Linked DNA regions of Drosophila melanogaster. Each later gene encodes a partner of the first gene's protein in a complex. Each region holds a gene or a part of one and is shown in the gene's direction. Other genes may lie near its edges. The genes, in order: Chrac-14, Mocs2B, PolE4 and Ada2a.

Region 1 (6,873 bases):
AGAGCCTGGCAATACTGGCCGTAATATTGGAATCTAAAAATCAGGTGGAGATTATGTACGTACCTGTGACGGCGACAATTGTTGAGAGCACGAAAATTACTTTGAAAATCCGAGTAAATGGGATTTGCATCATTGGAAAACGCTTGGGGTGGCGCTCCGAAAAATATTGATTGGGTGGACCGATTGTCCACCACTAGGAAAACTGAGTCAATGAAGGGGTCTAAACGATCGAGGGATCGAGCGGCGTGCTGGCCGCAAATGCAATTTGGCGTCGCAACAGAAGCTGAAACATACTACACACTTGCATCTCCTTGTGGATTTTACTGCAAAATAAAAATAGAACATTTTAGCGCCTCCACATTTTCTGTCGCACGAACGCACACACACGAAACAAAAAAAAAAGGAAAAGAAATAGCATTCAAAATTGGTGATCCAAAAGCTTTTCATAGATTATCTTAGACGTACTGGAGCTGCTATATGGCCTGTAGAAGGCTTCGACATTATAATTATTATAATGACTCGTGAATCATTTTATATATCAGGCAAGTAATTAATTAGTTAATCTAAAGAGCAGCAAGCGCGGGAAGCGGGCTCTTCTCTGCTCCACTTTGATTTTAGGTCTTGTTGCGCGCACGTCGGAAAAGAGACTGAGGAAAACAGAGCCAGAGAAACAGATGGACCTCATCCCTACATTGGCGGCATTGGCATGCGCCATGAATGAAATCGATCGGTGAGCGGGGAGAGCGAAGAGAGCGCCCCCAAAAGAGATGCGATTGCGACCGATAATAGTCGAAGAATCATATGGATATGCTAAGAGCTGCAAAAAAAAACCGCCCTTTAACAGTTATTCAATTTGTTAACGGCACTTTTCACTGCATACTTCTAGGGCACTATAAAGATATATTACTCTGTGAAGATAGCTGATAAGACTTAAAAATGTTTACATGTTTCGTACAAATATGCAATTGTAGCGATTATTATTTATATTGATAAAACAATTTAAAAGTCTTCAGCCAGATATTCAAAATTTAAAAATTAATGACCACTCATCTCATGATTTCGTCCAAAATATGATAATCGTTGATAATTAAAAACGCAGTATTCATTTCTTCGGACATTAATTTAGTTAATTTATTGCTTAGATTTATGCTTACCAACGAGTACAAGGCTCTAATTAGATATCAACTAATATCCCAGTAGAATTTGAACTATGACGCGGACTTGATAAAAAATAAATTCAAAACAATGGCAACTGCACATTAGATTTGTGGTTCTATCGGAGCAACTCCCAAGTGACTGTTTCCGAGGAAATCCAATTCGGAACACAGACTGATGACACGGCCTATGTCCTGAGGTTGGAGACACAACGGAGCATTGGCCGCCGCCGGTGGCAACTGTTCCAAAGTCTCCTGTTGCAGTTTCGCCGCCAAGGAGCGGCGCACCAATTTCTCAATAAAAGTGCGCAGCACTTGTCCGAGCATCGAGAGAGCCAGTGGCTGGGAGACGCCAGGCGGAGATTCCTCCGGTTCCAGTGTGATATTAATGTCCTTGCACATTTCCTGGACCAGCTGCAAGGTCGAATCCAAGTGCTTCGGCGGAGGTAGATAAAGTAGTTGGCGATGATTCACCATTTGGAAAGATACATCTGCTGAGTTTGTTAACCTGGACGCAAGCGGATGAGGTTTGTCCACACCCAACACATCGATGAACTCCTTATCCCGCATCTGTTGATCATGACCAAGCAGACGATCGGATTGCTTGGTTATCCAAGCTTCCAGCCGATTGCCTGAGCTGAGACTGCTATAGGCCGACAGTTGCGGTTGGGGCTCGCCCTTTAGTTGCGCCTGAACACGCCGAGCCAGTTGCTCCTCATCGCTCAGTTTTTGTTTTCTCTTTTCATGCACGACAGGTAAAACATCTTTGAGAGCTGGCGTATAACCATGAACCCTGGCGAACGCCACTATCTCCCGTAAACTCCAGTAGTGTTCCTTTCCACTAATGTCCAACTTATGCAGCTCGTGGTGCTGCATCAGACAGCGACGGAGCATACGTGCGCGCAGGTACTCAAAGCAACGTTGTTTTAGAGCAGTGTGATTGTGGAACTCTTCGAGGGTTATACAAGTGAATGGATACTCCTTTTGCTGATCAATCGACGCAAGCGGGAGGCGGCTCAGCAGGAACTCCACAGCACTGCGCATATTTCGGAATTGTGCACTTCTAAAGATGTGCTCCAGCCTTCGGGGTCGCGATTGTATGGTAGTGTCCACAATTGGAGGTAACAGCATTGGCTTTTCCTCCATCTCGCCGCTCATGTTGGCGTACCCATGATCGTGCTGCATGCACTGCAGCATATGCCATCGCGTTTCTGACGGTGGCTTAAGAAGACTCAATTGTGGTTTCAGCAGGGATTGTTGCTTTGCAGCCTGCTTAAGCTTGCGCTGCAAGGGATCGATAATGTACAGCTTTCCTGCTCTCTGAAACACAACATTCTTCTTGCCCTGGTGATGGCCATTGGGCACAGGCTTTATTGGTGGCCGATCCGACGAGGATTCCTTCCACGCTCTCTGCGGAGATGCCGGTGGATAGTGCTTTACTGGCGAAAACTCCTGCCGCTGCCTTTCTGGCAAGGATTCCTGCCTAGGACTTCGGCCGTTTACTGGCAGATAGACCACAGAAGGCTTCGAAGCGGTGACCTGAGCCGCATTTAACCGAAGTTGAGTCCTAGGAGGCGATGACGGAGTGGGTGGCTGCTTTCTTGGACTGTAGTTTAACTTCAGGGGCTCTGAAACCAACACAGTTGGTTCAATTTTCTCAATGTCGTCGCTGAGTTCAATTTTGTTGATACCAGCAAACAGATTGTCATCAAGTTCCTCCTTATTTTGAGTGATTGAAATGGTGCGCGGTTTGCATGACTCTCCAGGAAAGGCGAAAACCGAAGGCTCTAAAACATTCGGAGCAGCCAGAGGTGGAGCAGGAACTGCAGTCTCCTGTTCATGGGGAGGATGAGGTTTGCCGCTTTTCTGTTTCGTTATCGCCTGTTTTGCTCTCAGCCATATTTCCACAGTGGTCTCTGCGCCCATCGTGTGCAGTCCACACATTGTTTTATCCAGCACCACCGTGTGCATTAGTTGCACGGGTTTCTGCTGCAAGTGCTCTTGGAAAAATAGCTGGATGCGCATCGGAAACTCGCCCCAACCATGTCGGTTAAGCTGAAACGGAGACCTGTGCACGTCCACGATGTCGTTTGGGCGGTATGACGGATGGAGGTGGAAGCGCACCTAGAATTGCGAAGAAGAGATTGAATCACTCCGTACGTGCTTATGGGAATTACTTACCTTTTTAATGTATTTTTCAAGTGGTTCAGGTAGATCTTTGCCTTGCACATAGACCAACCACTTATAGGTCAAAGCATTCCCACCTGTGCCATTCTCTCGAGAGTCTTCGCCAATGTATTTGGAAGTATTACCCACCACGAAGTTGAATTTGTTCTTGTTATTCAGCCGCGAGGCATTCAGCTCCACTTGCCTTTCGTGGGCCTGTCGGCTGGTGCACGGCTGCTCGTCCTCCAACTTAACGGAAATGGGAGGTTCCTGCTCTGGCTGATCTTTTTTGTCCTTGGAGTGATCGGTTACGATGCCCTGCTCCTTGATCTTCTGTTGCCGCCTTCGTTCCGCCCGACGATGAGCCGGATTCCTCAGTCGGATGGTTTCTTTGGCCAAGGTGGCCGCCGTGCGCTCTGGCAAATGATTTTGGATGACAACAGGGCGCTTGCCAACGATTTTTTTAATGGCTGGATGCAGTGGCAGCTGCGGAGCGGCTATGTCGTCCCCAAAAAGGCTGTCGCCGCGCACTTTCGCAATATCCGCGCCGGTGAGGGGGACCTGCTGCTTTCGGTAATATTCGCTGACCACCTGATAGCGTAGTCTGTCCAACAGTTGTCGTCCTTGCAGCAGTCGTCGGTCGATCTCGGCCAGCTGCTCGACCTTCTGAGAGATTTCGCGCTGGAACTCCAGACGAAGCAGCTCCCGGATGCGCTGAAATTTGTCGGACAACGGCAGCATGCCATCCGACTGTTCCGTCTTGGTCCACTTTCTTTGACCGGGCGACTCGGCTTCTGCGCAGGTTTCTTCCTCATCCTGGCTAGAAACTTCCGTTTGCTGATAATCTGGATCGTGGTACTCGCTGTGCCTGCGTTTTTTTGGCGGCGTCGCTTGTTGCTGGTCCATGTGCGTGGTAGCTGGCACACGCACAGGACTTGTATCACGTTAGTTCGGAGGGGAACAGCTTCAAGTTTGGCCCGAATCGCTCCGTGCACATTTAGGCCGGGGTAATTGGCTGTTATTTATAAAAATGTGTAAACAATTGATGCGAACGAGGCGGCGCAAACAGAATTGAGTGGGGGAGTTGCCACATCGCTGGTGTAGATGCGTGCACGCTGGCCTTGTCCAACACTGTTCAGCCAGCTGTTTACTCTTTACGCGGGAAGCAAAGACGCCGAAATCTAGACGGAAAATCAAAAGTGCCCACCAAGTAAAAGCAGATAAGCAGCAGCAAAATGGTCGAGCGCATCGAGGATCTTAACCTGCCGAATGCCGTGATTGGCCGGCTCATCAAGGAAGCACTGCCGGAGTCAGCTAGTGTCAGCAAGGAAGCGCGAGCAGCGATCGCCCGAGCGGCATCTGTGTTTGCCATCTTCGTGACATCCTCGTCGACGGCGTTGGCCCACAAGCAGAACCACAAGACCATCACGGCCAAGGATATTCTACAGACCCTCACCGAGCTAGACTTCGAAAGCTTCGTGCCCTCTCTGACGCAGGATCTCGAGGTCTATCGTAAAGTGGTCAAGGAGAAAAAGGAGAGCAAGGCCAGCAAGAAGGATTCCAACACTGCCGAAAATGCCAACGCCAGTGCCACCGCAACAGCAGAGGAAGCCCCCGAGTGATTACGAATAGGAGAAACTATACGGATCAATTATCCTCTTCAGTCATTAAGAACAAAGCTAGTATTGAGCATTAACAAAAAACATTAAACATAGGCATTATCTAAGAACTTCACTTGTGTTTTGTCACTTTCCTCAAAGACTAAATTATGTTGTTAGTCAACGTTTACATGGGATTAATTTGGGATTGTAAGTGACGGTTGGAATTACACCCTTAAATAATGCCGCATTTCAATCCAGTCCGATCTAGTTTTTTACGCCTTCATTCAAAGTATATAAAGGTGTCAGAATAATATTTAAGTATTTCAGTAATTATTTGTTTATATATGTGATCAGAAAATCACTGTTTTAAAAATCATCCAGATAGATAACCGCGTGTTCTTTCCAGCACTGGAAACAGCTGTTTAAAAAAGCGCGTCTTATCGCAACAAAAAGTTTAGTTAGTTATTATTTTGCATGTTTTATACAATTAATATTTTAGTAGAAAATGGGAGTTACGGGCTTGTGGAAGCTCATTGAGCCGTGCGGCAAGCCAGTCCCCGTAGAGACTTTGGAGGGCAAAATCCTAGCAGTGGGTAAGCATCGTTTTTCGCCACCTAATGAAATACTTGCTGATTGGAGTACTTTTCGTCCTGCAGATATATCGATTTGGTTGCATCAGGTTGTGAAGGGCTTTCAGGACAACAAGGGATCGGCCCTGAGTAATGCCCATTTACTGGGTCTATTCCATCGTCTCTGTAAATTGCTATACTATCGTGTGCGACCGGTTTTCATTTTCGATGGATGCGTGCCGCAGCTTAAAAGGGACACTATTGTGAGTTATAATAGGGGAATATATCAAATTCACTCTCTAAATTAAATCCTCTTTATGTCACCCCTTCAGGCACGTCGCCAGCAGCAGAGGAATAAGCTCAGCAACGAAGCTGATCGCATTCAGGCTTTGCTCCTTCAATCCCTGGCCAAAGAAAAAGTAGTGCAGCAAGCGCTGGGCAAGAATGCAGAGCTACTGTTGAAATCCCCGGTTAAGCGACCGCCTCCAGCTAAGAAGAACGACGAGGATGACTTGTTTAAGCTTCCCGAACTGCCGGCTGCATCGGTGCAAGATAATCAAGATGAAAGCGAGCAGGACACCAGTGCCAGTGCCTCAGACAGCTCCTTTGACGAGTCAACCGCTCGACATTCTTACAACTCTAGCTTACAGGCCATCGATGTAAAGAGTCAGCATTTTCGGAATCTGCCAGCCGATGTGCGACACGAGATCCTTACAGACATCAAGGAGACGCGCAAGCAATCGTCGTGGGGCCGTCTGCACGAGTTGCCCGCCCGCAGCGATGACTTCTGCTCCTTCCAGATGAAGAGACTCCTCAAGCGCCGAGCCGTTCAGGAAAGCTTAGAGCAGGCGGAACAGGAGATGGGCGGACATACGCTTACCTATGCAGAGTTGTGTGACTTTTTCAATGAGGAGGGCATTCTCACCCCAACGGCCATTGAACAGTGCACCCGACAAATTAGCTCGGATGAACATACACGATTCCTGCTGGTCAGGGATCTTAAAAAGAAAGCAATGGAGAGCACCAAACAAGAGGTTAAAATGGAGATGATTGAGGAGGTACCCGCTGAGGAGGAGGATGAGAAGCCAAGCACTTCCACCAAGAAAGAGGCTGTGAAAAGTGTGGACCTAGGCACAGAGTTCGATGAAGATTTGGCCAAAGCACTGTCTATGTCAATGGAGGAGACCAAGGTGTACGATGAAAAGGACTACGAGTACGACTCGGACCAAGAGTTGCGCCTCAATCGAGCTCAAACCAAGCAATTGCGCCATGCGGCCAAGGGACCTGCACGGGCCTATATGATTGAATACGGCGGAATGAACGACGAGGAAGTTGGCAACATCATGGAGGCCACTCAGTTCAATGACACTCAAAGCCTTGAAA
Region 2 (7,741 bases), on another chromosome or scaffold:
CTGGCCAACGACTCTTCCTTTATACTTTTCAGTAAGTCCTTCTCACGAGCACTGCAGCTCTTCTCCTTTGCGAAGATATTAAGTGCTAGTTTCGCCGCCTTTCCTCTTTTTCCCGTACCTGGGGTGAGCTTTACTTTAAACCTAAAAAGGATATCACATTTACAATAAACATTTTATGCGAACTTTCAGTATAGCCTACTTGTAGTTTTGCAAAGCCTGATAGGGAGCAACGACTGGAATCGCGAACAGCAGCTCATCTCCTTCGTGCGGCTGTCCAGTCAGACTGTTGAGTACATCCACATCCCCACCGACGGGCACTTCATCAGCATCGTCCAGTTCCACTGGGTTTTTGGGAGCTGCACTTTTTTCTGGCTTCACGTACTCCTTGGTTGACTCACTTTTCTCCACCACTTTATCGGCACTGGCCTGTGGCTTTTCCTTACCCGATGACTTGAGAATCATCATGCGAATTTCCCGCTCTTCATCATCTTGATCCTTGTATTTTTGCTTCATTTTCTTGAGCTTTCCCTTCTGACCTCTCTTAACTTGAGATGGATTTTTTGGTTCACTACTCACAGGAGGGACTTCCTGCTTGGCAGCTTCTTGTTTCGCCCGTGCCTTGTCTTCCTTGGTCTTTTTGGCACTTACTTGCTTTTTACGACTTGGACCAGCCAAAATAATGGTCGTTTCTTCATCGTCCGTCTTTTTCAAAATTTTGTCTAGGACAACTTCACTCTCTTTAGTCTCTTCAATCTCTGGATTTACGGAGTCGGATCTGACTATAATGCGACCAGTATCGTGCTCAATCTTAACTTCTGTATTGGGAAAAGCTGTAATTTCGGTATTGGAGCTTGGTTCCGATAGATTTATATTTGAATCAGCGTCTTCATTATCCGACAAAAGATCATGTTCAACTTCGTTTTCTTTAACATTTGGATCTATTTGATCATCCTCCAGGCTTCTAACTTTACGCTCTCCCAAATGGCGCTCAATGAAGCTATCCTCCAACTTGAAAAGTAAACTTAGACCCATGGTCAGGTGGCAGGAGGGAAGGAAGTTCTTCTTTCCTCTGATCATAAAGCTTCCCGTTGCCAAGTACTCTCCAGTCGGTGCAGTTTTGCTGACCTGATCGCTTGTTACCCAGTACGAGTTGGTAACCACTTTGGCATCCCAAGCAACACTGTACGAAATAGCCATGGATCCTGCCTCTAGCAACGTTTTGGGAGGTATTTCTTCTCCTGTGGGATTTTGAATAATAACACTCGAGGCGCCTTGAATCTCAGCGTGCACATAAATGTCTTTCGGACGCATATATCTGGAATAACAACATGTCATAATTATAAATACTTCGATCTATTTAAGTAATTGAAAGCAAACCTTTTAACAATAAGCTCGTTCTGCTGGGCATCTCTTCCTCCAATAACCAAATAATTTTCAGAGCTGATAAACCAGTAAAACTTTTCAAACCAGAAAACTTTCCGTGCCTTTACTATGTTCGATATAGTCCTCACTTCCTTGAGCGTCTGCTGCGTCTTGCGCTCCGCAGACTTAAGAGCTTTTTGGGAAGCATCTACAGTTTTCTTTTCTTTTTGAGCAGCCGAACGTTTCATATCGTAGTATCGACGGGCATTGGCCCAAGCAGACAGAGCCAAGTCGACATCCACAACAGTAACCTCTGGATCCTTAAGATCGTCGTCTTCATCGTTGTCATATGGATCGCTGAGCATAAGGGATATATGATTAGTCTCCAGTTTAAGCTGCTTTATGGAACTAGCTACAGCATCGCCATTTGCCTGTGCCTCCTTTACAAGCTCGTGAATATCCGGCCAGGATAATTGACTGGCAATAGCTGACTGAACAGCCCGAATTGCATTATCCACCAGACTTTGATTGGACGTTATTAGCTCTGCTTTCTTTCTGTCCACATCTTGGACTTTTGTCAATTCCTCTAGACGCTTTGCGTGGTCATTCTTGACATTAGACAGCTTTTTTAGTGCCTCACGCTCTTGCTGTAGCGTTTTCATGTCAATCTTTTGCGACTCTTGCGTAGAGTAAAATTCATCAACGGCTTCCATAAAGGACTCAAATGTGGCCTTTTCAAAGTTTTTGAATTGAATAAAGAGGTAGGGATGAAATTCGATGTTTCTAAAGAAAAACTCCACCGTTCCATTCTCTGTAGGCTTTTCCTCTTTAACTTGAATAATGTAGCCTTTACTTTTTCCACTATTTCCCTCAGCTATAAGCTCTTGAGCATCCTAAAAGATTGCACAGAACGTTTTATTTACTTTAACAGCAATAATAAATATTTCCACGATATTGTTCTTACCTTTACTGCTTGCTGAAGAATTGGCAAGTCATTAACCATGTCAAATGGTTTCTGTTCCAGTTTCGTATTCTGTTGCTTCTTACGTTGCTTTTTACCGCCCTTCTCCGGCTTGTCCTCCGCCTCCGGCGTTTCTTCCGTTGTTTCCTTTTTGATAACGTGATTGTCCAAGCCGTGTGAGAGGAGAACATGCTCTATAACTGCCGGACCACAGTCCAAGTTGGGTGTTAGAATCTGTCGCAAATAGTCGCCGTTCCTGGCATTTTCCAACAGCTTAACCAAAGCTTCCAGTTCCAGTTCCTTCGTGGGCTGTTTGGCCCGTTCCACGGGATATTTCTCGCGCATGGCGAAGCGCAGGTTCTCGCCCTCCGTATGCGGACGCAAAATATATAACGTGGTCAGCTCGTAGTCGGTGAGGATCACATTACCACGATCGTAGAGCTCCAAAATAACATGGTAGGCGGCATCACCGGTACCGAACTGAAAGTCAACAATACGATCGCTACCCATCTGTTGAACCTTTTCCAGGCGCTTGTTCTTCAAGTGCTTCCTCAACTTCATGCTGAAACCGGACGGAGCCATGTTCTTGGGCCATTCGAACCTAGTGGTATGGAATCTTGTACCAGATTCTATTAGCAGAGTGACCTTCTCCACTGCACCGGTCCCTTGCATCCGGAAGAGGTAGGTCTTGTTATCCACGTCATAGATCTGATTCACTCGCCAGCCGACCAGCCTGGAATATAAATGTAGATGTACCATTATTCCTGGGCATCGGAATTATCCGGATTTTTTACATACTTTTGCAGTTCCGCCACTCCGCAGATTATATCGAAGGTATTGAAACGTGTCTTCATGGTTCTTTATGGAAAGTTGACGATGTCAACACGGAAAGTGAAGAAAAAAGAATCTATCTGGCAACTTAACTTATCATTAAATATTCACAAGTTCGCTATCTACGTTAGATAAGTTAAATTAGTTTAATAGGGAATAATAACAATTTTATTCACTTGCGAAATTAAGTATCGGTGTAAATTGCGATGGACGAACTTTAAACAAAATATATCGATTGTATGCTGTTGATGATTCGGATTGTCAGAATGAATTCGCTGTATAATTACTATGTATTAAATATTTGTATTGTTTATGCAATGAGTAAGAAGCTTCTTTGATTTATCTAAAAAGTTATTAAGCATTTAATAAAGTTTCAGTCAGCTGTTTCCCTTTCCGTGGACTATTCCACTTCGTTCCGATAAGAAATCGATACATAGGTAGTCGGAAAATGGAACTGCTGTGTCATCGCCAATCTTCATTTGTAAATATGAATGCGGATGGACCTGTTGTCAACGTGCACGTGTTGTTCTTTGCTAAATCCCGTGAATTAGCAAACACTCCCCGGTCGACAGTGGAAGTTCCTACTGAAATTACTGCCACCGAACTGCTGGACCACCTGGTGTCCAAATTTGGCCTGACCTCCATCCGGGATAACTTGATTTTGGCCCACAACGAGTCGTACATTGACAACCTGAGTGATAGAATTCTGTTTAAGGAAGGAGACGAACTCGCCATCATACCGCCACTGAGTGGAGGCTAACCTTTCCGCCATGGATCACGTGAAATTGGTAAACGACCCCATAGATATCGCTCATATCCATCAGTTGCTGGCCGATGAAGGCTGTGGAGCCTCATCCGTTTTCGTGGGCACTACGCGCGATAATTTTCAAGGGAAAAAGGTGGCTTCATTATCTCAATCAATTGATTTCATTGATTCATTTGTACTTTTCGACCTTTCAGGTGCTGTCATTGGCGTACGAGGCCTACGATAGCATGGCACTCAAGGAAATGAATAAAATATGCTCAGATCTCCGATCTAAGTGGCTCGATCTGAAGCACATAGTCATATATCATCGATTGGGAACAGTGCCCGTATGCGAAGCCAGTGTAGTTATAGCCGCCTCGTCACCACATCGTTCTGAGGCCTTAGAATCAGTATCTTTTGCAATAGACCAGCTAAAAACTCGGGTTCCCATCTGGAAAAAGGAAATCTACGACGGCGATAACGACAGCGAATGGAAGGAGAACAAGGAGTCCATCAGGCCTAGTAAGATCTTATGAGTAGCCAGCATGACATGTATTCTTATTATTTGTACACTTGTAAATATAATTAACAATCGAGCGTTTACGATTTTATTGGCTTCTCTCTCATCTGTGCATGTACATTGTAGAGAAATCGAAAAGTGGCTTCAACTACGCCGCTTGTCCCTGCAAAGTTGAGGAGTCACATGACGTCCCGCGAACTCTGGTGCAAATTAGAGTTAATGACGCTGAGTTAACCAAGCGTTTAGAATGTTTTGTCAACAGAAAACGAGACGAAATAAACTCACAAAATGTAATTGACTTCAAATCGTCTTTTGTCAGCTCAGACCAAAACTTGAGCGATTCCTGCGCTCGAACGCAGAGCACAATTATTAAGCAGGAGCAGTCAAATTGCCATTTAAAAGGTGGGTAAACGATGCTCTATTTTCATAACTATAGCCACTTTGGTCTACAAACAACCTATCACAGTCCGACGAGTAAACAACCGATGCGGACCTCAGCAAATGGAAATGCGACCCAACTACGAACTCGAACTGAATAAACTAATGGGATCGCGTGACGGTCAAACGGATCCAACCAAAGAAATGAGGAAATCGCTACCCAATTCACGACTACAGGCAATTGAATCGTACATGGGTCTAACCACCGACAACGAGGAAAACATTTTCAGTAGAATCAAACGAGTGGAAAATAGACTGCTGCAACTGGAGTCCATTTCGCCCGAGTACAGACACTTCGTAGGTTCTTAAAACATTTCCTGTAATTGCAGTTCTAAAAAAATTCAATCTATTCTCAGACCAAACGTGAACCGTCATCTATGGAAGCCGCGCCGCCGAAGAAGAGCCGAAAGAAATCGTATTCGGCGCAAGAATTAAGTGCATTCATTCAAAAGATTAAGGATGGCAGCGAATTAAGCTAATAAAAACCTAATTAATTATTATTCCTTGGTTTGTAATTGATGTAAATTTATTTCAACATTCCAACTATTTGTAATAGTTTTTTTTATGCGTAAATGATGAGAGTGAAAAATGCAAAAATTTTTGTTTACAACTAAGGAATATGGATAAGCGTGGCTGATTTGTTTCTGTTTATTAATCGGTCGTCAAGCTTCATAGATCGCGCCCGAAAATCTAATGGTTATTTGTTAACCGAAGGACCAGCTTACTAATTATTTAATACGCGAAATTATTAAATCTTATTGTTGTTCTCAACTCCTAGCACAGAGTGGGGAATTGAGCTTCATCGTCAACCTTCAGTGGCTTCTGGGCGGAGCGGCGTTTCTCTCCGAATCTGTTGTTGTCTTGTCTGTTTTCATAGCCGTTGCTGGGTCCGTTGTTAAAGCGGGGACCACGGAATCCCTCTCCACGCGGTCCGTCATTGCGGTAGCCTTCTCCACGCGGTCCCTCATTGCGTGGACCCTCTCCGCGAGGTCCGTCGTTGCGATAACCACCTTCTCCGCGAGGTCCGTCATTGCGATAGCCACCTTCTCCGCGAGGTCCGTCATTGCGGAAGCCACCCTCGCGAGGACCGGCTCCGGGGCGAGGTCCCTTGCGGAATCCGACCTTGCGTCCATCATTGAAGTTGAACTGGATGTCCACGATGCGCTGAAGGCGGCCCACGCGCTGAGGATACAGCGATGGATCATACTCCAACTCGTCTTCGCTGTTGCTCTCCTTCTTCTTGCTCAGCACGATCATCTTCTTCCACTCGGCATTGTCGGCGGCTCCCTCGCCCGCTTTGCGCAAATTGTAGTTGGGCTTGGCACGCTGGTCTCTCAAAGCCTTCCACTCGTCAAGGGTCATCTGCTTGGACTCATCCTCTTCGGCGGCGACCGCGGGATCAGCCGACTGTTCGTTGGCCGAGTCCTCCTTTTCCGCCTGCGGTGAGGTCTCCCCGGTCGTCTTTAAGTCCTCAATGTCCTGCTTCGGGGAGCCCCAGTTGTGGGCACCACCGCCTTCGCGCTTGTCAATTGACTTGACGCCTGTGGAGAATAAATCAGCTATTAATAGGCTTCAATCGATATGAGTAAAGAGGATTTTCGGGAAAATGTTTGCCGTATAAGACAAATTAAAAGTTTAACCAAACGAATTTTATATTTTCGGTAACGAATTAATAAATTAATAAATTATAAGATCAAAAATCAAAAAAATCAAACAAAAAAATGTCCAAGAAAACACATGTGTGAACACACGAGTTTGCAACGCAGTAATTTCATTATTTCATCATTTAAAATTAATATTTACAAACACGTTTTCAAACGTTTTGCGTATTACAAATGCCTAAAAGTCACGTGAGAAATACGCGATATGTAATCAATCTTGTTGCCAAGGGTTGCGTTTTCTCTATATTTTGCAGCATGCCGCCATTACAGGGCAGCATTTTCCACGCAGAAAAAACGGATTCACTTGAGAAGCAAACACGAAAACCAAGGACAGAAGAATCTAGACATAATTACCAGTTCTATCGGATCCCGACTGGCGATCGAACTCGCGCTTTCCGAACTTCTCGCCGGTACGGACGCGTGGTGGTCCCCTGTTGTCACGATTGTTGAATTGACGCTGCGGCAACTCGTTTCCGAATTCTCCGTTCGACTCCTTATTTCCGTAGCGTTGGTTGTTGTTGAACCTGCCCTGGTTGTTGGCACCGTTTGCTGTTGGGTTCTTGGGACGACCCACATCCCCGCCAGCGGGACCCTTGCCGCCTTTCACTGGACTAGCGTTTTTAGCCACCGGAGCGTTGGCCTTGCGGGCAGCCACAACCGGCTTGTTCTCCTTCTCCGACTTGCTCTTTGGTGCCTTTGGCGCCTTTGCCGGTTCCGGCTTCTTGGGCGCCGCGACTACAGCGGCAATCTGTGGCTGTGCGAGCCCAGAGGAGTCATCGTCGTCCATGAACAACAGCTCGTAGCGGTTATTTCCAGAATTGTCCATGATGTAAAATTTCTACGGATTAAAATTGAACCAGATTTGAGAGTTACTTTGGTCCCAATGGCGACGATATGCTTTGCTGTTAACTTATAGGCACATGGCCGGCCTAGAGTTCAAACAAAGTGATAATCGCTTAAAATTGCGAAAACGCGGAGCAACTTACGCACCACGCCGGAAACGAAAGTGAAGGTAGAAACATCGATTGCAGGAAACATAAGGGCCACGATATGTTTCTCCGCTAATTGCATTTCGACAATCGATAGTTGCCGGTTCAATATCAGTATATATCTGTAAAAATTAAAATATATAATTTATATTTTCTGAACAATGGTTGGTTTTTGAAAAGGGATTTGATAATTTACAGCCTTAAATAAACCATATATGTATATTTACAATAATT
Region 3 (6,831 bases), on another chromosome or scaffold:
ATTGCTTTAGTATTGCGCTTAGTCGAGAGATTAGTACATAATTGATTTTAACTTAGCGGAACAAAATGCGATACCAAGTGGCTTACCGAATCATTGTGAAGGAAACTATATATATGTGAACAGATTATGAGTACATAAAAACAATGTATGCAATTTTGTCGAATGTAAAACTGAAATAAACTAGAGCTGCTAAAGACCCAGCTGAATCCATTCAACGAAATCCACCCCTATATAGCTACACACACACATGCAGACCGGCAGGATTCGGTGGCTTGCTTTCCGAGAGTGGCAGGGGATAAACACACGCGCGACCAGGACAACAACAAAGCGCTGAGGTCCTTGTAGGAGCTCACTGCAGCTGCAACGCGGCGCAAGAGTGGGAGGAGGAATTCCGCAACGTGCGCAGGGCCTGGCAACCATATGGTGGCTTCTAAGGGTGGTACTTATGGTGGTGGCACAAGCCTCAAGCGACTACTTCGCCTTCCGGATCAGTTGTCAACTGCATAGCGGCCAGGACACACATCTAGTCAGCGGAGTAAATCAGCGTCAGTGAAAAAAGCCAAGGTGAGTGCTCGCCTATCAGTTGTGTCAAGAATCAGGCCTGAGACATCCATATCATTCAGATGATACCGCACAGCGAGAATCCTTTTTCGATCGAGGATACTTACGTCGAGGAGCCACAGTTCTCTGAGCAGTGCGGCAACAGTCGTTGTGGACAGCCCCAAACTGCGTATGAGGTCTATCAGAGAATCCTGCTAAGATTACAAGCCCAGGAACATACACGCTCCACAGAAGCCAATGAATATGAGATAAGGAAGAAGTTCTGGATAGCCAGCTTCACTGGGAGGCCCTTGCAATATCAATGTTAGTTGAACAACACAAAAGAAAACCATATCCCTGATAGAAAATATATCCAAAGATAGACAGACATTTGTTTTAAGCCTTTATTAACTTTATAGCCTTACTTTAGACATTAACAGTTAAACTTAAGCTACTTACCCATCAGATTTAAAATAAAATAATACTTTGAAAAAACCTGAAATATTTTAGTTATGCAAACTCTTTATATGTTTATTCAATGTTTTTTCTTTTTCATTTATAAATTTATAATAGTTTATTAACTTATTTTTAGACGCACTTTAAGGTCTTGATGTGATCTTCATTTCGTTTTTTTTTTTTTTTTTTTTTTTTTTGATTAAACAATGTGATAAGTTCGCACGGTTTTATTTCATTAGATATAAACCTCTTGATTCTACTGCTAGTGAGACAATTGTTTAATTACGTAATGCATATATTCATGGTAAATGAGGGGTCGAGTCATTTAAAAGAATAGGATAGTTAGATCTGATTGCAGAGAATTTATTAAATTCATTCAATGCGTATCATTTTATTACATTCATAGAAAATTACGAACTCGGGAAATCATAATTTAAACATAATAGGAATTATTTGACTTATTATCTGTTGAAATGGTCCAGAAAAGGCATGCCAACAGTTTAACATATTTATGGATATACAAATTTAAGATTAATATTGTTTGTGGGAATTGATAGCGCAAGTGCGCGTTTTATAAATATTAATGTTTATTAATTGATAGCATCATTTTGAATGCTGCTTTCTTCTTGATTAAAGTATTTTCAATGTGCTCCCAGCATGGATTTTATAACGTAAGCATTGTCCTTTGTTTTCATTTATAGCGGTGTGCGACGAAATCAACCGGAGCTCTATTATTTATATTTTTTAAGTATTGTATACGGATTGGGCTTATAGGACTTGATGGGCGGTTCGCGCATACGTTTCATGTCAGTCGGATATGGACGTTTATATGCCGCTGCGTTTGTCGGTATTATTGATGGACGTGCTATAAAATTGGTTGATTATTATTTGTAGTATTTTATGCGTGTATGTAATTACTATAAAGGAGTGAATCGTTGCATAATATTAATCATTCCAGTGTATTATATAGTTTGATCTGAGAGCTTGCTCAATCACAGTTATTGGTTTTGATAGTATGATCTAATCTAATCTATAACCCAAAGTTCCTGTCAAAGGTGCATCCCAAAAAACTGGTGCATTCAGGGGAAAAATCGATCTTATGTCATAGACCCCGGCACTACCCAAATAAAGAATGCATGCTTGGGATTAACTTACGTTTGCTGTACTCATAGCCCGTAGGCGGACGCTTGGGGGGCATACGATGTTCATACTCATAGGCCACCTCCTCCACATCGTCGACTCTATAAAAATGAAAATGTTAATTGCTGGGTTAACAGATGTTGGCTAGGATTTAAGGCACTACTATGACGCGAGGACTCTCGGTTCCATTACTCCTGGTGGGGTCATTAAATAATACAAAATTATACTTTACAAGTAACTTACTCGGGCGGATTTTCCGCAGCTCTCTTAATCAGGTTGATGTATTTGGGAGCCCCATTGCTGTTGCCTCCAAACTTCTTGTCGAAGACAGATCTGCAAAATAATATATTTTTATTCTCATGCCCAAAGGCTGCATAGGGTGTAAGATTACCTGTAGGCCTCCAGATTCGGTCCGTGAATGTTTTTGGCTGACTCGGGATCCATTTCCATCAGCTCGCGCAGCTGTTCGTGTGAAACCTCGTCGTTCTTGTCTGGAATAAGATACTTACGGATCTCGGCCAGAGCGTAGGCTATGCGGGCATAGCACTCCGCCGGAGTGGCCACCGTGCTGACCTCCAAAAATAGGTCCTTCTGAAGATGAGCATATCTCGGGTCGCCTGTGCTGCGCAGCTGCTCTTCTTTGTTACGATCGCGGATCGAACTGCGACCCTTAATGGCAATCTTGCACTGGGTCTCCTCCTGAAGGCGACGCAGCGAATTGCCCTTGGGCCCCAGGATCTTGCCAGTGAAGTTGAACTGCGCAAGGGTACGGATTTATTTTTCGAACGGAGAGGACAGCTAATTGTATAAACCCACCTTGGGATACTGCTTTACGGGCACGAAGACCTTTTGGGTAATCTTCATCGGCTTCTGCTTGTACACGTCTGCGTAGAACTCTTTTCCGGGAATACGACCAGTGCAGTAGACACGGTCCACAGCTGCAATATTGGGATTAGTACCATTAAAATACCCTGTAAAAGGGCCAAATTGATTTTACCCTCGTCGATTAGCAGTGCGCAAAGTGGAAAGTCCGCGGACAATCGCTGGCGCTCCTCGTCCAAATCGGCGAGAAACTTTTGGGCCACCTCGTTAAGACGCGGCTGGTGATCGTGGGTGGGTGGCTGTTTCTCAGTAAACTCGCTTGGGGTTTCCATTTTTATCATAACAATCTTTACAGAAAATTACAATTAAAAATGGTGTAGACTGAAAAACAGTATGTACACCAATGAACTAAAATAATGGCAGAGCTGCCAAGCGTGTGAAGTTTTCGGGCTGCCAACTTTTTTAATTCAATAGTGATTGTTTAAATGTCGATTTTTTCCACTGTGTACAAAATGTCGTGTTTGAAACACAGAAGTAGTACAATTACTATAGATTATTTTAAAAAGTTAAATCTGTTAGTAAGGAGCTTCGCCGAGAAGATAGCGGAGCTGCCACCATTTCGATTTCATACATGGTGCAATATCGATATTTTTGGCGGCTGCCTTGATACTCATCTCTAAAAATATGGTATTTGGATTGCATTCGCTTGGTTTGTTTTCAATTTTTATAGTGCGCAATGGCCAGCGAGGAACTATTTGAGGCTGAATTCTCGGAAGAACAGGACTTGGAGCATCAGCAGGCCATGGAGACTGAGGAGGCGGAGCTAGCGGAAACAGAAGAGCCTTTGGAAATCACCGAGGAATCGCCGGATAATCCTGAGGCAGAATCTACAACAGAACAATTGACAGAAAAACCAGGTAAGTTAGATGCACTTAGATAGAATTTCTCCTATATGGCTCCTTTCCTTCCAGTGACGAATGGCAACAAGGCCCCTGCTGATAACGAAGCCAAGATGACACAACTGCCGTTGGCCAGGATACGGAACATAATGAAACTAGATCCGGATCTGCATATGGCCAACAATGAGGCCGTGTTCATAGTGGCGAAGGCAGTGGAACTATTCATAGCCTCGTTGTCACGGGAATCATATACCTACACGGCGCAGTCCAAAAAGAAAACCATACAAAAGAGGGACGTGGATATGGCCATTTCTGCTGTGGACAGTTTGCTATTCCTTGATGGAGCCATGAACTTTTGAACACCCCCACAAATGAAACTGGATTTGTCGATTATACTTTTATACTTTATTTAGGGATATTCAGCGGCAAACAAATTCAGTTCTAAACGTCCTTATGGTTTTATGTTAAAAATAATATTTAAGTTATAAAACAATTGTTGATTCGCAAAGAAAAAAAAACAAAAAAGAAATCATAATTATAAACGACAACGTTTAACGTTTCACAATACTCTTTGCTATTCGGAATTTGTAACGAAGCCGGCATTTGGTTAATTTATTTAACTGCTGAATAGTGTGGTTTGTTGTTTGTTAATCATACTCTGTCCGCAGGCGATACTTACTTTGTCGTTGGGCACATACATTTGTAGTTTATATTTTGCTTTTTATGTTGGTTTTATCTCCATTATCTTATGAAACAATATTTTCAAGCTTAGTCTAAAATTATGCTTTGATAAATTAATTGTTTTGGGGGGGTTTTCGCTTGTGTTTAGTTCTCTTCTCGTATTGGCTTTAACTAGTATTAGGTTGATTGAAGTATGTCTTTTGTTTTTACAATCTTTTTGAGGATAAAATTTGTTGCATTATTGGTTTCTTGTTTTAATTTTAAACACAATTTGAATATCGGACAACAGTTGCAATAAAAATTTACGTTTTTTATTTGATTTTCGTTTATATATTATATTTAATAGGTGTGAATAGTTGGATTGTTGACTTCAAACATTTTGATATTTCGTTGGAATATATTTTAATCTTTACGCTTAACATTGTTTAGTTGTGGTTGTTGTTGTTGTTGTAGTTGTTGTTGAGGTTGGTTTCTTGGGGTTTTGGAAAATCGATGGGTTAACGTATTTTCGGATATGGAGCCGAGCGATATCGCACGCTTTCACGAGATCGGGATCCAGTTTCGTAGTGAGCAGATGAATGTGATCCCGAGCCCGAGGTGGTTGGTCGATATGACGATGATGAACGACCGTTGCTTGGTTTTGCTATTTTGAAAAGAATTTTATTTGTTGTTTAGACTTTAAATTGTTTCTTGTTCTGTCTCTGTGGTGCTGTTTTTTGGTTTTTGGTTTTTCTTTTGCTTAGCATATATACATTGTAAAAAAAAGAAAAATATATTGTTTAACCGGTTTTGAATGCACTACACCCTACGAAACGTTATTGTTTTGAGTAAAATGCATTTCGTTTCATCACGTTTCAAAAAAAGTTGTTCCACAAACCTTTCAGCTTGGATTTTATAGTTTAAGCATGTTCAAATATTTTTGGGTTTCTTGCCATGAAGTTTTATGGTTTTGTTTTCAAAGTGTGAATTTCAGTAATTTGATTGTTTGATCGATTGTTTTAATATTTTGGCTCTGGCTTCTTGTGAGTATGTTAGTAGTCGTCCAATTAATGAAGATGATTTACTGGTTGCTGTTCGGTTTAGTTGATTTGGCCTCTGTTCAGGCATAGTGCATTTAAAATCTTGTTAAAATGGGATGGGTTGCCGTTTTAATAATTTTGGTACGCGGCCTTGTTTCTTTTTCTTTTTTGGTTTCTGTTTTTTTCTGCGTTTTCAATTTATCGGCGCTTAGTTGGATAGATTTTGTTTTGTTTTCGAGTTTTTTTTTTGTTTTGATTTGCGCGAGTTAAGTTTAAACGTTTACATTGCTATTTGTCGTATTCTTTTTCTTTTCTTCATTTTGTTTATTTTTACATGCCTGCTGAGGGGAAGAGATTATTGGTCTAGAAATCTAGGTATCTTACCTGGATAGGCCGCCGCGTAGGAAGAGGAGGACGAGTGGGGGTGATACTCACGCCGATAGTCGCGCTCGTAGGAGCTACTGTCATACTGGGCGTGGTGGGTCGAGTGCTTTGATGTTTGGGGCGGCGGTGTGGCATAGCGATCATATTCTCCATGGTGGTCATATAGCTCGTGGTCCCGTGATCTGTTGAAAAAGTAAGGGATTAAAGGAGGGTTTTCTAACAATGGTTGATAACACAGATGCACGCTATTGAAAGCATAAGAATTTAACTTCTAAAGGCATCATTAACGCGATTGAACTTAGCTAACCTGTGCGTCTTTACGATCCCATAGTTGGGATCGTCCATCACATATCGAGCCTTCTCCAGAATCGAATAGACTTTGGGCTTTGAAGAAGCAGGGGGCGGGGTGCTGTGACGAAAGGAATTCCTTAGTAACCAATTAAAATTCAACGAAAATTGACAAGCCTACCGGGAACTGTAGGCGCCATGATCGCCATAGGATTTGGAATAGTGGTGAGACTTCTTGTACATGCGCTCCTTGCCATCCATCTCGCGTAGTTGCTCCAACCGAATGTCGTCGTTGGCGTCGGGTATCATAAACTTGCGGATCTCGCCTAGCGCATAGCTGATCCTGTGATAGGCCTCCGCTGGAGGGGCCACCGTGGATATCTCCACGTGCAAATCGCGGCTGAGATGGGCGTACTTTGGATTTCCGGAGCTGCGAAGCTCCTCCTCCTTACCGTGGTCGCGCATCGAGTTGCGCCCCATAACCACCATTTTGCACATAGTCTCTTCCTGCAGCTGCCGCAGTGTGTTGCCCTTGGGCCCCAGGATCTTGCCAACGAAATTGAACTTGGGGTACTCCTTGATGGGGAACAAGACTTTCTGGG
Region 4 (8,929 bases), on another chromosome or scaffold:
TTTATAGGCCGCCCAGTCAGGTTATTGAAATTGTTGGCATTGTCAACCCCGCATTAAAGCGGCAATTACATGTATCTAATAAAGGATAACAGCGCTACTGACTTAAAAACCAAAGTGGATAAACCGGATCCGGAAGGGGGCTTAGATTTAAGTAGCTGATAATGACAAAGTTGACGCGTGACGGCCAATTGCACGGTATTTTAATAACAATCCGAACAATAAAAGTCAGTTTTAATCACCGGCAACGAGCTTACTTTGCAATTTGCATTAGAAATGGTGTATTATAGTACTTATGGCAACGTATTCCTTTTTTATTATTCCTTTTTTTTGTCATTATGTCATTATTATATTATTATACCATAAACTCAGCAAGTGGCAGTTTGAGGGAGATCGACCAAAAAGACGAAACTCTTTTCGAAGCCCCGCATCTAGCGTGGTTTAATGGGCGTGGCCATCTTCTCCTACTCAATCTTAATTTTCTTGCTTTTATAGATTCCAAGAGCTCGGCGTTCATATGGACAGCCGGAAAGACATACGGATTTGGCCATATCCACTGGGCTAATGATCCTGATCTAGAATATATCAACTTTACGGAGTCGGAAACGCTTCCTTCTGCCTGTTACATAGTTTTCAACGAATATAGTATACCATTTTACTCTACGTGTAACGGGTATAAAAAGGTAACAAATAGTTGCATAATTCTTTCTGAAATATATATGTATTAGGAAAGGCATAAAAGGATGCTCATTACTTTTAGTAAAATGTCTTATAGAGCAAATTGGTTTATATTTATTTTTTAACGTATCTAAACAAAAACTTTTTTAACATCATTTCTGATATCATTAACTATATCAACTCTATATATTTATACTACAACTATATACTATATACTATGTACAACTATATCACTGATATCAACTATAAGTTCTGGCCTGAACTCATACGCCAAATTTTACGTATCATATGTAAATCTATTAAAGCCCACAACATTAAACTTTACATTTAACTTAAATTTAACTTTGTATACAATTAAAAACTATAATATTCAGAATATTCGCCTTACTCTTGTCAAAATATTGCCATTTTCCAACCAACTTCCCACTAAAATCCGTCGTTCGCAAGGCAGCCCACAAATCAGCGCCGGAAAGAATGCTCCAAATTTCGCTCGAGCTGCTCCGACGCACACTAATAAGTTAATCAAACTAATTGCAGTGGAAAGGAGCAGCCACTTGCCGCAACTGGTTGGGGCGCGGGGTTGGGGGATAATGGAGGAAGGGGTAAATATCTCTGTTGCCAGTTGGCAGCTATAAATTCCGCACATGCCCCGCCCACCGCCCACTGGCCACACCACAAGCCCCTTCAAGCGAACGCACCCCATCCGAAAGAGCTAAGTAAGCTGTAAGCCATGAAAAGGGTTGTTGCTTCTGGTTCCGGCTCATCGTCTGCCGTCTGCTGTGGAATGCCGAAGGAACTGCTGCCTGCGCCGCGAGACGAGCATGTTAATTGCCCCCGAACCGACGTTGCCAGGTTCAGCAGGATGCGGCTGGCTGCCTGTGTTCCATGGCTTTTGGGCCAAGTCACAACTTGTGGCACAAAGTTCTTAAAAATTGACGCACGCTTTGTTTCCTTTTGCGTTTTAATTAAAAGTCCAATGCCAGTTGCAAGAAGGGATTGCGGAACGTTATGGTTATGACCATTGACCATTGGCCAGTTGAGCTTTGTTAAGCCATCTAAATTGGCTAAAGAGCTTGGACTCTTTGGCATCGCCGGTCACTTGGCAACAATCACTGCACTGAAGGGATGGGTGAAAAGATTTTACTCTTGCGTTACATGTGAGGCGGCTTTATTCATTAGTCAACTTTTCTCCTATCTTTCTATGTGGCAAAAAGAGGGAAAAACTTAAGGCGATAAACAATGAACAAAAAAGTTGTTGACCATAGCCAACATTTTCCTTTGATCCATAATTACAGGAATTTGTGAACTCTGTGTGCTTATATGCTTCGAGTTTAATTAAAGATACTTACCAAATCATTTGTATTACATATTAGTTAAAATGCCTTTCATAGATTTATTTTCATATTATGTTATTGGCTCGTTTTGAATATGATTTATATCTAATAATAAGCAAAAAATGCCATGAAATTATGAGCCCGTTTTTTTTTTTAAATCCATTCAACTATACATATGTATGAAATTAAATATATTTATTTATATAAAAACAATGATGTTATTAAAATTACTCTCAATCGAATCCTACTCATCTTCTCCCACTGAACCCTTTATGATTCCTTTACCATAATAAGCAGTGAGCGCAACCATTCGGGTGTCCAGATAGTTGTGCTCCACCTCGCACTGCTGCCCAACTCCACTTAGAGCGACCACCTGCTTCATATTGGCGTTGCGTGGCAGAAAGAAAGCTACGTCAGATGCCAGGCTACGGGACAGCTGCATCAGTTGGCTAGCACCCACGGGCAGGAGACCTGTTTCGATATCAAAGGTGGCCTGCTTTTGGTAGTCAGGACCACCCCACGGAGGGCTCAGGAAAACCACATTTGGGCGCAGCTTTGTGCTGGCCGCAAACTGCAGAAAATCGGCGTGGATAAACTCGATCTTATGGGCCACACCATAAATGCCGGCATTATGCTTGGCCATGGCCAACTTCTCGGCATCGATGTCCACAGCAATTACGCGTCCACAGGTGTTTGCAAACTGAATGGCATTGCCGCCGCATCCACAGAAAGCATCTACGATCACGTCGCAGGCCAGTCGTCGGGCCGTTTGTTTGGCAATCTTCTCGGGTGTCACCGAGAACCAGCTCTCGCGGTCCAGCCGAATGCCCTGATCGAAGCGGGAGAACAGCGAGAATCGCTTGACCCAGTACTTGACCATTTTGTTGTTATCCTCTTGCATGCACTCTGGCATCCTGGCCTTGAGTTTTTTTATTTGCCTTTGCCGTCGTTTTTTCTTTTTAACAGAACCGCTCTGAACGCCGTGCAGAGCCTCGTTTTCGTTGTTCTCCATGGTCAACAGATCATGATCGTCCTCGCTATCGCTGCTAGATAGTTCGTACTGTGTCTTTCTTTCCTTTCTATAATTAATTATATCTGCCTTCGACGCAAATGATGTTGGCAATCCGAGAAGGCGCAGCTGTTGTTCCTCGTCACAATCCTCGGGATCGTCGTTGGCAGTCAAGTATGATTCGTCCTCCTCTTTCTCTGTGACCCTTTGCTGTTTCGATTTTATTGGCTTATTTGTAAGGCTTAGGTTCTGCAAGTCCTCCTCAACATCTTCTGAGTTTTCAGCGACGTCAAGGCCAAATGATTTGGCCAAATCGTGTTGGTAGTTCTCAAAGGCACAGCTAAATATATACCAGAACTTTTCACTGTAATCGCTGGCGTGCTTCTCCCACAGTTCCTGCCAAAGGCCTTGCTCCTCCGACGAAACCACCTCGATAAGATCTTTGTATTCGGGAAACCGCTTGTGCCACTTTTGCTCGAGCAGCTCATGCCCCTCACGCTGCCAGAATTCTTTCCAGGTAACGTTTTGAATGCCCCCCCAATTGCAATTATTCCAGTCGAAATCGTTACCAAAGAGCTGACTGAATATATAGAACTGCGGATTGGTTCGCGAGGTGGTCAGGTGGTGTGTGTTCATTTCTCGATCAGACTTCTCATCTCCAGCCTGCGAGTCAGCAAGTCCTCGGCTCTGTCGATGACCTGGATGTACCATAAGTCGATGGCCGGTCTGTAGGTGGCAAGTAGCGCGCTGAGATACTGTTTTTGGGCCAACGGATCGTTGGACAGACTATTGATCTTGTCGTAGACACCGCCGGCGGTCAGTTTGGCACCTTTGGGATGCTGCACATTATGTAGCACCACTTCACCACGCACAATGCAGTAGCGGCCGGTACTCACGCGATTTTCGACGACTTTGTCATGGGTAAGGCCAAGAATAAGCAAGGATACGGTGCCCTCGCCCAAGGAGTACTTCCTGAAAGATGCAGCATCATTGGTAAGGACCGGATGGATAGGTAATATAGAAAAACTTACTTTGGCAAACACTTAACGCGCACGTTTTCTAGGCGGTACTGATTCGCCTTGAACGCCAGACGTCCAATTAATGCGCACTGACCGTAGTGCAGGTTGTGGTAGGAAGTTTCCAGCTCCAGTTCCTCCACCAGCAGGGTCTTGAAGAAGTAGCAGTACTTGGGCGCTCTCGAGGTAGAGGCTTCTGGCACCAGGGACATAACTCTCTTGGAAAAAAACCAAGAATTCCGAACAAAATCAAAACACCCGGAATGATAAACTCAACATGCTTGCTAGTGTGACCAACGTATCTACGCACGATGCGACCCACCTATCGATAGCTTCTTCGCCAGTTATAGCCCTGCCTTTCTCATCACTAAAAACAGCGACATTTTATTGTGCAAATTAGAATTTCTTAATATAAACTTTAACAAACTGAGCAGTTCTTAGCTCACTATGTCTTTTATGAACCCCGTGGATATGGTGGATGAGGACGCCGCCGACCTGCAGTTTCCCAAAGGTAACCAACGCCCTACACCAACCGAAATGCAACTTACAAGTGAAACTGGCTGAAACCTTTGGCTTCGAGTGCCCCAAAAGTGGCACTCCTCCACATTTTTACCACACTGAATTGCCTCTTTGCAGTTGAGCCACTGGGGCCACAGGTTAAGCGGTTCATCCATGCACATCAGAATGAACACACCAGGAACTCCATGGTTTTGTATAATCCGCACACGTTGCACAGGTACTTGGAGGAGATGGAGGAAAAGACGCGGGACCAGAATAGCAGTGTTCCATCGGCTACAAAGGATGCCAATCGGTGTGCCACATGTCGCTGCAGTCTCACAGAGCCGTACATTAAGTGCTCCGAGTGCCTCGACACCCTGCTCTGCCTGCAATGTTTCTCACGTGGAAAGGAGGCCTTTTCTCACCGCAATAACCACGCTTACATCATAGTCCGCGACAACATACAGGTTTTCGCCGATGAGCCACACTGGACGGCACGGGACGAGCGCATACTGCTGAAAACACTTCGCACCCACGGCTATGGCAACTGGGAGGCGGTCTCCCAGGCTCTGGACCAGCGCCACGAACCCGCAGAAGTGCGTCGTCACTACCACGATTGCTACTTTGGCGGGATATTCGAGCGGCTCCTTAATCTGAAGCATGCGAGGGACAGCTATGTGCCCGAGCGAATGCCGTATGTCTTCAAAATGCGCAGCTTGGATCCACCACGTCATGACGACATCGCCTCCATGCAGTTCAGACTAAGCGCAGGTTACCGCTGTGCAAGAGGAGACTTCGATACTCCGTACGACACCTCAGCAGAGAGTCTGCTATCTATTATGGTGGATCATAGGGGCAGGGATGACGACAACGAGGCGTCTGAGAGTGAGTTTGAGCGCGAAGTGACAGAGGAATTGCAACTCGGACTAGTTCGGGCATACAACAATCGCCTCAGGTATGATCTTATAACAGAAAGCTACTAAAAAAAATCTAATATGCATATTTACTCACAGAGAGCGCCAGCGTCGTTACAAGATAATGAGGCAACACGGTCTCATAATGCCCAATCGCACCGTCAGCTGGATTTCCAAGTACGTGCACGCCTTTGGCAGCGATGCGAGTTGCATGCGTTTCTTGGGCTTCATGCAGATCTGTCCTGACCCCATTAAGTTCGATATGCTGTTGGAGTCTCTGCGTTATTATCGGGAGCTGCATAGCCAGCTGCACAAGCTATACGATCTGCGGGAGCACGGCGTTCGAACTCTTTCCGGAGCCAAATTATATGCCCGCTTGAGCAAAGAACGTCAGCAGGCTCAGCGAGATTACAGCAGGCTGAAGCAAACAGATGCTTTCGACTGGCAGCAATTGGTGCAGCATTACGAGAGCAACAGGAGCGGTGATCCTGGTCCCCTGGCCATTAACTCAAAGTTATATGTGATGAACACGCGTCGAAAGGCCAGTCCCATTGAGATTGGAGGTGGGAAACACTTTACTCATTGCCTGACACCAACTGAATATAATTTTTCTTTGATCCCAGATCTGCCTGGTTACTCCAAACTGGATGATGGCGAGCGAAAGTTGTGCAGTGTGGCTCGTCTGGTTCCGCAGTCGTATTTGGACTACAAGAATCAACTCGTTACGGAGCAAGCAAAGCTCGGATATCTACGACTGGCCGATGCGCGACGTCTCATCAAAATTGACGTGAACAAAACGCGTCAGATCTACGATTTTCTGCTGGAACATGGCCATATCAGCAGACCACCGTCCTATGGCTAGGGCTAATTTTTTCTCCAATGTTTCACTTGTAAATTTCCTGAATGTCGTCAAGTAACTAATTCAAGAAAAAAAAACCCTTTCGTTTCTCTTTGTTTCAGAGTTCGAAAATGCCGAGACGCTGCTGATATCGGAGGTGCACATGCTTCTCGATCACCGAAAGCGACAAAACGAATCCGCCGACGAGGAGCAAGAGTTCTCCGAGGTCTTCATGAAGACGTACGCCTACACGGATAGTTTTCGAAAGTTCAAAAACAAGGAGACCATAATGTCTGCGCGAAGGTAATGTAGCAAAACCGAACAAAGCACGTACGAGTAGTAATATTCAATTATTTCAAATTCAGCTTGCTGATGCAGAAAAAGCTGCACAAATTCGAACTGGCGGCACTGGGTAATTTGTGTCCGGAGGCGCCCGAGGAGGCCAAGGCGCTGATTCCTTCACTAGAGGGTCGCTTCGAGGATGAGGAGCTGCGCCAAATACTCGACGATATCGGCACTAAACGCAGCTTACAATACTAATTACTACTACGTATAAATATAGTTTAGATATAAAGTCATGGTCCACTTACACAATAAAGTGAAGAACAGCAAGAATTTTAAGTAAATGCAGAATATACACTGTAACAAAAATCAACAAAGTCTAAATACAATGTAATTATATCAAACAAAAGATTTACTTAAAAAAAAGTATATATAAATTGAATTTGCCGCTTGAAAGAATTGTTTGTCTAGTGTTGCCAGACTGCTCACATGAAAGAACTTATCGAAATAGCCGTCACATCTGGCAACTTGCTGAAAGGCCCGCACTTGCAATTGTTTTCTTTTTCCTAATAATTGCAAGCGAACAATATTTCACAATGAACAAGGACAACTCCAGCATGAAAATGGATCCGCAGCTAGCCCTACGCCTCCTGGCTGATGGCGGAGTGCTGGTCATCGCCGGTGTACCCGAGGGCACGGAATTCGGCATTGATCTTTGTGCCTACACCATTGGTCCGGATTTCCGAGGCGTCAAGATGATTCCACCCGGAGTCCACTACGTATGGTGCTCCTCCCGTGGTCCCTACGGCGATGCAGCCCCTCGTGTTGGATTCGTGCACTTCTTCCATCCGAATGAGATTGTCGTACGAGAGTGGGACCACGAACTGGAGGAATTGCGCCCGCGGAGGATTGCCGAACCGGAAGTGGAGCGAGACCGAATACGCAAAAACCTAGCCCAACTGGAGCGCGTGCTGGCGCCGTACGACTATCGTTACGTGGTCCAGTGGAAGGAACTCACCGGCAGCGTGACGGAGTCTTGCGTGGATCGCTGCCGTCCGACAGAAGGAACCATCCGTACGAACATCGAACTGCAATCCTGCCCGGACGCAGATCGGCCGCGAGGTGGAGCCGCTACTGTCAGCATAAGCCGCCGGAATGCTGCAGCTCGGATTCTCTTAGATGAGAGCGAACTCCTACCGGACCTTAAGCCCGTGGAAGGAACAGCTCCGCGCTTCACTACCGTACCCCTGCGTGTTCCACAAGATGCCCTGCCCGCTGATGTTTCCCGCCATGCCTTGGACTGCATCGATGCTGTTGACAAACTGCTCGAAGGCTTTGAAACGGCCGATGGACTCATTGAGGAACTGCAGCTGGCTTACGCATTTTTCCTAGTGGGCTACTCTGTGGAGTCTCTGGCCCACTGGCGCAAGCTTTTGGGCTTGCTGGCTCACTCGCAAACGGCGGTCACCAAGCACAAGTTAACGTACATGAAATACAGCGAGGTTTTGGCCCACCAGCTGCCCCATCTGCCCGAGGAGCTGATGGTGCCTGGTCCGCATAACACCGTCTACAAAGATGTACGCGAACTGCTGGTCAATCTGCATGCGGGCGGCTTAAGTGTCAGCGCTGAGCGGCTAACTAAGCGGCTGGAGAAAAAATTGGGATGGGAATTCGAGGGCCTGCTAGACGAGGATCCCGAGGACCAGCCTGTAGTCATCGAACTTCCGGAAGCCTAGGAGAAGGGCGCTACGCATGTGAAGTGTAATTCATATATTTGTAATACAATGGACTGAAACTGATCTATATTGATTTCTACTTTAACGCAGCGAATGCTGGGTGCGCAAGTAATTCCACAGATCCCGAGCCGTGCGGATGCTGACCATGAATTGGCACAACTTGGTCTCGATCAGGCAGAGAATCAAGAACTTGGCCCGCTTGTCCTTTAGCAGGGACTGCAAGGAGTATGGCATGGACATGGGTTTTCTGTAGCCATAAACGGCGCCACACCATCACTCACCTCCTCGTTGTTCTCGGGACCATTCTCCACCACCGTCCAGAGTTCCTCCGACTCCAGATACGCCCGCACCGTCATCGACCAGGCCTTGTAGTTGTCCAAACCTTTGAGCTTCTCAATTTGCAGCTGCAGTGCCATCTCCGAGACTCGAGCAACGTTTCGCAACTAAACCGCATTCGGGCCCTTTGCTGTTTCCTTACCTTCGCCTCTTCCAGCTGTTGTCCAGATTTTTAAATATAGATATCTTAGTATTTGTATCTGTATGCACACGGCTTTTCCATTGTGCACATCAGCAAACTGAAAACAATGGCCACTAGACCCACTTTTCGTGTTGCTTCTGGCCCAGCTA

Evidence for each region.
Region 2: Chrac-14 (region 1) and Mocs2B share a complex: the UniProt entries of both Drosophila melanogaster proteins name them as parts of the ada2a-containing (ATAC) complex.
Region 3: Chrac-14 (region 1) and PolE4 share a complex: the UniProt entries of both Drosophila melanogaster proteins name them as parts of the DNA polymerase epsilon complex.
Region 4: Chrac-14 (region 1) and Ada2a share a complex: the UniProt entries of both Drosophila melanogaster proteins name them as parts of the ada2a-containing (ATAC) complex.

What each region holds. Positions count from the first base shown.
Region 1 is NT_033779.5:8,432,950-8,439,822, forward strand, and holds Chrac-14 (chromatin accessibility complex 14kD protein), read left to right. Parts: upstream 1-4,455; 5' UTR 4,456-4,555; coding exon 4,556-4,942; 3' UTR 4,943-5,047; downstream 5,048-6,873. Other genes in the region: grk (gurken), read right to left, coding at 64-133; D12, read right to left, coding at 1,260-3,278, 3,336-4,226; mus201 (mutagen-sensitive 201), read left to right, coding at 5,427-5,514, 5,578-5,753, 5,823-6,873. UniProt on the Drosophila melanogaster protein: Accessory component of the DNA polymerase epsilon complex. Participates in DNA repair and in chromosomal DNA replication. Histone-like protein which promotes nucleosome sliding of ATP-dependent nucleosome remodeling complexes.
Region 2 is NT_033777.3:25,123,247-25,130,987, reverse strand, and holds Mocs2B (molybdenum cofactor synthesis 2B), read left to right. Parts: upstream 1-3,628; 5' UTR 3,629-3,641; coding exon of another isoform or gene 3,642-3,914; 5' UTR 3,915-3,924; coding exon 3,925-4,053; intron 4,054-4,114; coding exon 4,115-4,421; intron 4,422-4,545; coding exon 4,546-4,821; intron 4,822-4,885; coding exon 4,886-5,154; intron 5,155-5,213; coding exon 5,214-5,336; 3' UTR 5,337-5,356; downstream 5,357-7,741. Other genes in the region: Clbn (caliban), read right to left, coding at 1-141, 200-1,315, 1,378-2,255, 2,327-3,056, 3,122-3,177; Mocs2A (molybdenum cofactor synthesis 2A), read left to right, coding at 3,642-3,914; vig2, read right to left, coding at 5,632-6,398, 6,873-7,356, 7,509-7,589. UniProt on the Drosophila melanogaster protein: Catalytic subunit of the molybdopterin synthase complex, a complex that catalyzes the conversion of precursor Z into molybdopterin.
Region 3 is NT_033778.4:22,408,160-22,414,990, forward strand, and holds PolE4 (DNA polymerase epsilon subunit 4), read left to right. Parts: upstream 1-3,629; 5' UTR 3,630-3,694; coding exon 3,695-3,875; intron 3,876-3,929; coding exon 3,930-4,216; 3' UTR 4,217-4,423; downstream 4,424-6,831. Other genes in the region: VepD (Ventrally-expressed protein D), read left to right, coding at 624-869; qkr58E-3 (quaking related 58E-3), read right to left, coding at 1,728-1,861, 2,152-2,237, 2,380-2,469, 2,528-2,892, 2,953-3,074, 3,134-3,290; qkr58E-1 (quaking related 58E-1), read right to left, coding at 5,036-5,181, 5,942-6,123, 6,249-6,350, 6,411-6,831. UniProt on the Drosophila melanogaster protein: Accessory component of the DNA polymerase epsilon complex. Participates in DNA repair and in chromosomal DNA replication. Has a role in cell cycle progression. Required for wing morphogenesis.
Region 4 is NT_033777.3:18,250,933-18,259,861, reverse strand, and holds Ada2a (transcriptional adaptor 2a), read left to right. Parts: upstream 1-4,374; 5' UTR 4,375-4,481; coding exon 4,482-4,545; intron 4,546-4,625; coding exon 4,626-5,487; intron 5,488-5,545; coding exon 5,546-6,308; 3' UTR 6,309-6,406; coding exon of another isoform or gene 6,407-6,587; intron 6,588-6,649; coding exon of another isoform or gene 6,650-6,824; 3' UTR 6,825-7,019; downstream 7,020-8,929. Other genes in the region: Tgs1 (trimethylguanosine synthase 1), read right to left, coding at 2,254-3,654; moi (modigliani), read right to left, coding at 3,651-3,990, 4,050-4,246; Polr2D (RNA polymerase II subunit D), read left to right, coding at 4,482-4,545, 6,407-6,587, 6,650-6,824; CG12320 (uncharacterized protein), read left to right, coding at 7,163-8,302; CG18598 (uncharacterized protein), read right to left, coding at 8,384-8,518, 8,584-8,718. UniProt on the Drosophila melanogaster protein: Component of the histone acetyltransferase (HAT) complex ATAC; predominantly involved in acetylation of histone H4, including at Lys-6 (H4K5ac) and Lys-13 (H4K12ac).